Mus musculus: one gene and its partner. The protein of the gene in region 1 binds, or shares a complex with, the protein of each later gene. Links are inferred from orthologs where the notes say so. Each region holds a gene or a part of one and is shown on either strand. Other genes may lie near its edges.

Region 1 (4,077 bases):
TAAAAATGTAAGAGAACCTGATTTGGTAGAACTTTAATAAAGTACTTTTTTGATAAAGTACTCATCTATATATGAAATATATTCTGTAAGTTAACTTACCACTATTGTACAATGAAAAATCAAACAAGTCTAAACTTACTTCATTCCTTTTATACATCCATTTTATAAAAAACCTGAAATGAGCAACTGCCATTACTTATAGCTAACTACATATCCACATAGTATAACACATAACAGTTGTAGGAATACACACATGTAATAAACATAAATGGTATTTTTTGTGTATGAAATACTATGTATTTTAACTTCTAAGAATCCAAGTGGGTTGTACTTATATACAAGACATCTAATCTGAATGAAAGCAATTCTGACAGCCTAATGGACTCACTTCCCAGAACTCAATAAAATATCACTGGAGCATTATTTAGCCTCAACAATAGCCAATTATTTCAATGGGAACAACTTATGGTTATTTACTTATGAACTGGAAAACAAACAAAAAACAAAACAAAAATCTCAGTTTTAGTACTAGCCTATCACACACTAATACCATCTTCATTCAGCTAATGGTACAAAATTCTCTTCCTGCTTCTAATCCCTAATGCTAGCTCCAGAAACCACTGATCTTTTCCTTTTTCACATCTACTGCTAAGTCCTAAAGCTCTAGGAATAAACAGTGCCTGCATACAGTACTCAGTATATGGGGAGAGGAAAACAGGTTCAAGTAGAGAAACCTAGAGGTCAAAGAGCTGCAAACACAGATAAAGGTAGAACCGGTTACTCTGAAAAATATTAACTGGTCAAATATAAGCTCTTTCACATTTTACTAAACAACAAAGAAACAACAGAACCAAGAGTAAATATTTCCTAGAAAAATCAGTGTCATAGTTGATTAAAAAAAAATTAAAACATAAAAAACAACCATGTCTGAATTCGCTTAAAAAAAAAGAGGGAAGGATGTGGATTTGACAATCACTTGGGTGGTTGATTAGGTAGGGAAATTATTCAAGTTCATAAACCTGGCTCACTGTCCAATTACAAAGGAAAACATAATAGTTACCTTTATTGGCACTGTGTTTCTAGCATTTCTCACTTTCTGGTGTAATCTCTTATTTACTTAAAAAAATCGTTCATAATGCAATTATTATTAAAGTATCTCGTCCTCCTGATTATACCCTACATGTTAACATAGAGCCCATTTATTTACATAAAGGTGCAAGTTTTTACATGCTGACAATATGTCCCTTGCAAAGTCACAATTCTGCATCGCTTGTACACTTCTTTGGGATGAGGAATTCAGAGGCCCTCAAGTTCTCCAAGGCAAAGTTACTTAACTCAGACAATACTATCGTGGTCTTTCATTCCTCACAGCAAAGGGTACTTCAGGAAAAGCCTGTTCAAAAAGTGATGACAAAGGCCCCCTTCCCCTCCCACACGACAGAATGCTTATGAGTCTTAGAAGGGAAAAACAACCTCCCTCCGTTTTACTTTTACAATTCTGCTCCACTGATGGCTTGTCTATTTGACATTTACCTGTCACTGTAGCGACACGAGCAAGTACGTCCAGTTTGTTACAACAGGACATTTTAATTGCCTGCCACTGGCTATCTGATCGAGGCATGACATCCAAAGTTACATACTACTCCATCTACTAAACACCGCAAGCCTATGACTCAACGTAACGCCAAGAGGAAAAGTTTCTGAAGAGCAAATGTTTGCTGTCGCTAAAAACGTACAAGGTAAAACAAGTCTGAGTGGCAACTATTCTTGGGGACCTCCTTGACTAAGACACGGAAAAGCTGTGCCTGGCCCTCCAAGAAGTGGAGGGGCGATTCTGAACCGGAGTGGGTCAAGCGCTTAGGAAGCTTTGCAGGATCAAGGATGCTATAAATACTATGCTCCTAGTGTTTTGCCAGTGGGCATTTCTAGCATCTCTGTCAGTGAGTGGGGCAGTGGGATGGCAAGACCGCCCCTGACTACGGAGTCGAGCAGAGGTGGACAGTCCTCCCCACCGCCGTAAAAGCCGAGCCGGCTCCTTCTGGAAACCGCACGCTAAAAGTTACACACACGCCCCACGCGACGGGTGCGGCGGCCACAGCGCGCATCCCCTCAGGGCCGCGGCCCCCGAGGCCCGAGCGAAGGAGGCCCCGGGGCGGCCGGGGCGCGGGGAACGGCCCCGGAGGTGGCCGACCCGGCCCCGCGCCGCCCCGTTGCCGGGAAGCCTCGCGCTCCGCCACCGGCGGCGGCCGTGGGGGGAGGGGAGGCCGGCTGCGGCCTGTTGGCGGAGTTCAGCCCCGGCCTCGCGTGCGGCTCCGGGCCGCGGCTCCCGGTCCCGGGCGCCGAGGACCGACTCACCGGAAAGGCCCGGATCCGCATCTTGGTGTCCTTCCGGCTGCCCGTGCCTTTGCTCAGATTCGACATGGTGCTCGGCCCCTCCCCGGCGGCGGCGCTGACGGCGGCGGCGGCTGCGGCTCGCACTCGGAGGCGCCGGTGTCACATTGAAGGCGGGAGGGCAGCCGCGGGGCTCGGCGGGGGGCGGCGGCGCGGCCCCCGGGCTGGGCTGGGCGGCGGGCCGGCCCCTGGGCGGCCGCGGCGGCGGGGGCGGCGGCTCGGGCTCGGGCGGCTCGGGCTCGGCCGGGGGCTGCGCTGGCGCGGCGGCTCCGCGGGCTTCCCCTCGCGCCGGGCTCGGCTCCCTTTATCGCGCTCCTCCGCGATGGCGGCGGCGGCGGCGACGGACAAACATCTCACTGCGCAGGCCGAACGTCCTCCTCCTCCTTCTCCTCCTCCGCCTCAGCGAGACGAGATCCGGCCCAGAGGGTGGAGGGGGGAGGAGGGAGGGAGGAGAGCGGAGAGTGGAGAGATGGGGGAGGGGGCGGGAGGACGGGAGGGGAGGCGGGAGGCCGCGGCGGGCACGTCAGATCTCGCGAGATCGGGGCGGGCGCGCGGTCGGGGGCGGGGTGGGGCGAAGCCCGGGAAGGGAGGGCGCAGGGAGAAGTGGGGTCTGAACGTGGTGGGGAGGGGGGAGAGGGGTGGATTAAGGAATGGGCGTAGTCAGCGCCCTGGGGGGCGGGGCCTGGTGCAGGAGACGTAGGCTGCGTTTTCAAAAGAGGAGCGTCGGAGACCCCAGTAGGCTGAGGTGGCTTCTGATTGGTGGAGCGCGAAGGTGGTGGGTCACGTGGGTAGTGGGCGGGGGAATTTCCGGAAGGGGGAGAGGGGAGTGTTGTGTTGTGGGCTGGCGGGGCTGAGCTTGGCCCTAGTAGGTAGGTAGTCCTGGGAAAGGGCGTGGGGTGCGAGGAGGAAGGTTCTACGTCCTAGAACTGCTCCTGTGTTTTTCTAGGGCACGTGGCCTAGGGATGGGTACTTGAGCCCAGCCAGAAACTTGAAAGCAGGGTTTGTGCTTGAGTTACCTGCAGACTGCGAAACCAGTGTCCTGTTTTTAGCTAGGTGTTGCAGCGCCTCAGAATCAACCCGGCCTTCTTACACTGTACAAGCTCCTGGGTTTGTTCATTAGTTGATACCTTCTGGAGGATCCAGAGCCCACTAATGTTAAAACCCGGTTTTTGTTTGTGCCGAAATAAAACAAATGCCTAATATACTACAATATTGTGTTAAACATACGACCATTTCCAAGAACAGTATAGATCATTAAAACCAAAAGCACTGTGAAATTAAGTTTGCTGTAGGTTTGGAGACATTTTTCTATTTGTTCGGGGACTCTTATCCTATAGTCGAAATGTCCAATTCGACTGCTTTTGGCTTCTAATTCAGTATGAATCCTACATCTACCTTGCATACTTGCTCATTTGCTGTTTCCAACGCCCCTGGGAAATCTGAGATTCTCCCAGTTTTGGATCTTCCCATTTTGAGTGAACTGTTGTTGGGATTAGCACCTACAATTGAAATTGGTGGCCCATGACCTTAATCCCAGCATTTGGGAAGCAGAGGCAGGTGGATTTCTGAGTTCGAGGCCAGCCTGGTCTACAGAGTGAGTTCCAGGACAGCCAGGGCTACACAGAGAAACCCTGTCTTGAACACCCTTCACACACCCCCGCCCTCCAAAAGGGAAAACTTGATAAA
Region 2 (3,950 bases), on another chromosome or scaffold:
AGAGCCAAAGGAAGAACATAGTGGCAATATTACTGCGTTTTTAGTGATTTTAAAAAAATATTTTGTGTGTGTTGTGTTTTGTCTGCATATATCTGTATACCACATGTATGCTTGGTATCCATCATCAGATGCCCTGTAACTGGCGTTCCTGGTGGGAATTAAACCATGGTCCTTGGTAGTTTAATTGTAAGAGCAACAAGTGGTTTTAACCACTAAGCAATCTATCCAGTCTCATGAATGGCAATCTTAAAGGGGCTCTTAAGACTTGCACCACAGCTGGCTGTAGTAGAGCATGCCTTTAATCCTAGCATTTGGGAGGCGGAGGTGGAGGTAGGCTTATCTCTGAGTTTAAGGCCAGCCTGGTTTACATAGTGAGTTACATGCAGTCAGGGCTATATAAAGAGACACTGTCTCAAAAAAAGAAAAAAGGACTTGAACCATTTTATTAGACCACCATTATATGTATCTTTATGCACACATAAATATGACGTTAACTTGAAATTGCCCCAGCACTACCATTTTGCAGTGCTGGGACCAAACCCAGAAACTCATATACACCATAGAAACACTACATCACTGAGTCATACTACTAGCCCTGCCTTGCTTTTTAAAAGCAGAGTGGATTGCACAATATGCCATCGTAGTCACCTTTCAGGCTATAGAGTACACATCTAAAGTATAGTTCCACTTCACTGGTTACCTATGGCTATTACCCAAATGTTTCCTATTTTAGATTTTTTTTTTTGGTTTGGTTTGGGTTTTTTTTTTTTTTTTTTTTTTGAGACAGGGTTTTCTGTGTATCTCTGGCTGTCCTAGAACTCATTCTGTAGACCTGGCTGTCCTAGAACTCACAAGAGATCTGCTTGCTTCTGCCTCTGTCTCCCACATGCTGGGATTGAAGGCATGGGCCACCATCCCTAGCTATTTTAGATATACTGATTCATCTTCATCAATTCATTTAAGTCCTGCATACCATCAAGATACAGGGCAGATGAAAACATCAGGCACTTCTTATTTCCTTTTGTGGAAAAGTGATGCAGCTTTTTATTCTTTAGTTACTGTACTGTACTGTCTGACAGTAGCTATGCTGACTCTCAACACCGAACATCAACCTCAATCTAAAATCTACCAGAAAGGGAATTATAATATAAACTAACAACAGTTAGTCACATAAAGTTGGGGTTCTCCTGAGCCAGACCATCTGCTGAACATGACTCTTGCCCAGTTAGGTGTGGTAAGCCCTTTCGTGAGCTTACCTGAGATGATATCAGTGAGTAGATGGTGGGGCAAGTGGAGGAACTCCTCTGTGCTCTGCAGCTGGGCCAGGTGGGTCTTGGCACAGTGCTTGGCAGCAGTGTAGAGCTCGGGGTCACTGTGTCTATCTGCAAGCCACATCACCTGCAGGCAGTTGCCCACCTGTACCGTGCGTGCCAGAAACCGAGAACACTCCTCAAAGAGAGATGTCAGCTGATACATGTCTGACACCTCGTAAATTTCCTGCAGCTCATCAGCTCGAAGTTTCACAGTCCCATGGTATATATAGTCAACTAGGAGCTGGAAAACAGACTCGCTGACATCCTGCAGCACAATCACCCGGTTGTGAGCCTCCTTCAGGTTGGATGTGAACATGGATCGGAAGAAGCAGCTCTGAGCTGACAGGACCAGCCGGTGCAGCTGAAACTCTCGGCCTTCCACTGAAATGGTGACATCAGCAAAGAGCTCCTCCTCTAAACACAGTTTCATGATGCCCTGAGCCACTCGGCCTGAGTGAGACCGGTCTTTGAAAGTATAGTTCACAAAGTAGTTTTCATCCATGGATGCTCCAGGCTCCTCTGGTGACTCCATGGTAGCCAACTTCTCTCTTTGCCAACTATCTGCAAAGCAATATCACCCTAAGTATTTGGGTAATTCACAGACACAGTCCATGAATCCAACTGTCCAAGTCAAGACAGGGAGAAGGGAGACACTGGAGCAAAGTGGGTCCAGAATGGCCTTATTCCTGGTCTTGCCAATGTGGCCTATGCCATTCCTCCAGTTTTCCTGCAGTGGGGCCTCTCCTCCAATGAATTCAATTAAAAGTTCCAACTCTGTTGTTTTTCCTTGAGGTAAAATTGGATATTCCTGATCGTGATGTAACAAAAGACTTGGGACTTAGGTTAGCTCATGAAAAAGACGAAGGAGGAAGCCTATGATCTTAAAACCAAATAATTTGGATATACAACTAATGAGACTCTGGAGAAGCATAATTAGGCCAAACTAAGACATCCAGGTATTGTTGTTACATTCCCTCTTTGCCTGGACATAAGAGTGCAGACCCCCCAATACTGAGGCTTGGGCCTGGACTTCCACTTTTACTCTTTTCTAAGCTGCTGTTTCTTACTTACCTCTCGCTCCAGTGAGTTCTTAAAGAAGCCCTTGAGAGCCCAGCCGTCCCCGGCCGGGGGCACAAGGAAGTCCATAACCCTGTGCAATCTGACCGTGCCACCTGGAGTCGCCTAGGAAACGGTCTCCAAGGAAACCGTCCATCGTCTCCCCCCCCCACCCCGCCCCCCATTAAAAAAGCTTAGCTCAAGAGCCGGCGCGGTGTAGAACTTAGAACCCAGAACGCCCACCCTTTCCCTTTCTCTCACCGGTGCGGTTCGTTGCGTCTTCTTCTCTTCGGCCTCCGCTGTACCGAGATAGGGCTACGTACACCTCACGGTTTCCCCACCTGCGGGTCTTTCTTACCTGCGATACCTCCTTTCATGCCAGGGCTCAGATCCGGAACCTCTGCTTCCCGCCCCGCGTCCGCCCGGAAGAAGAGTCACTGCACATTTCCACTTCCGGTCCGTGCCCTTGGGGCTCCGTGGCCTGCGTGTGTTCTCCGGCTACTTAGTCGGCACACTAAGGAACATGGCGGCGGCTGCAGCCAGGGTCTGGTGTCGTGGGCTCTTGGGGGCCGCTTCCGTAGGCAGGGGTGAGCAAGGAACAGCAGCAGGTTGAGACCACGGGCAGCACGGAGACCTCCCCGAGTCTCACCCGCGCCTTTGTGCCTTTTCTCTCCCTGTGCAGGGGCTGGGCGACCCTCCGTGCTGTGGCAGCACGTAAGAAGGGAGAGCGCGGCGGCTGACAAGCGCCGTGAGTATGTGCGGATGGCGCTTTTTCCCCCAACGTTAGCTGGGGCCTTTCGTTGTTTCTGTCAGATGTTTGTCCTTGCCTTGGAATGTCCTTCCCTCCTGGCAAATCTCTGCTTGTCCTTGGAGATTGCTATGGTCTCCACTTTGCTGTTAGAATCGAGCACTTCCTGTGCCCTAGATATTTGTTCCCTTCTGATCTTGATCGCCTTTTGCTCGTTATCAGGATTTGATTTTTTTTTTTGTCCTCCGATGAAATTGTCTTTGAGCGCAGGTAACAAAAACTTTTGAGACTCAAAGTCCAAAATAATTGTAGCTCACATCAATTTAGTATTTACTAGGCACCTTGGACTTCATAAGAGCCTGATGAGACGCATAACGTTTTACTGTCCATATAGATGTAGATCATGAAGCGGTCCAGATAATTAAATTATTCAGTCACAGTTCCAGTGAACGACAAAGCAGGTCTGTTTCCAAGTGCAGAAAATACTTAATCCTTGATTCTGTGATGTGTGGGTGCTCAAGTACTTGAATGACCCTGTGGTGATTTTATGTTCAGTCAACAGAATCACACTGGGAAATAGAAAGCTTCTTTTCATTCCAGGACATCTATTACACAAAGTGACAGGGGATAGAGTATGGGCAATGAGGTAATCTTTCAGGGTCCTTCAGCCCTGAAGTTCTCTGATTAAGAACTTGGTATAAACAAGTACCAAGAAGGGAAAGAGAAACAGAAGTCTGGTTTCCATCCTTAAAGAGCTCTGAGTCTGAGAGAGGAGCTGCCACTGTTGCATTGTTACCATGAGTACAGGAAGTGAGGAACAGCTGTGGAACAGT

Evidence for each region.
Region 2: Cul3 (region 1) and Kbtbd4 share a complex: the UniProt entries of both Homo sapiens proteins name them as parts of the BCR(KBTBD4) E3 ubiquitin ligase complex. The link is inferred for Mus musculus from reciprocal best matches to the Homo sapiens genes CUL3 and KBTBD4.

The regions. Positions count from the first base shown.
Region 1 is NC_000067.6:80,337,891-80,341,967, forward strand, and holds the start of Cul3 (cullin-3), read right to left. Parts: upstream 2,801-4,077; 5' UTR 2,422-2,800; coding exon 2,356-2,421; intron 1-2,355. UniProt on the Homo sapiens protein: Core component of multiple cullin-RING-based BCR (BTB-CUL3-RBX1) E3 ubiquitin-protein ligase complexes which mediate the ubiquitination and subsequent proteasomal degradation of target proteins.
Region 2 is NC_000068.7:90,903,590-90,907,539, reverse strand, and holds the start of Kbtbd4 (kelch repeat and BTB domain-containing protein 4), read right to left. Parts: upstream 2,801-3,950; 5' UTR 2,747-2,800; coding exon of another isoform or gene 2,728-2,746; 5' UTR 2,631-2,727; intron 2,539-2,630; exon of another isoform or gene 2,385-2,538; intron 1,875-2,384; coding exon of another isoform or gene 1,846-1,874; coding exon 1,257-1,845; intron 1-1,256. Other genes in the region: Ndufs3 (NADH dehydrogenase [ubiquinone] iron-sulfur protein 3, mitochondrial precursor), read left to right, coding at 2,893-2,956, 3,052-3,117. UniProt on the Homo sapiens protein: Substrate-specific adapter of a BCR (BTB-CUL3-RBX1) E3 ubiquitin ligase complex which targets CoREST corepressor complex components RCOR1, KDM1A/LSD1 and HDAC2 for proteasomal degradation.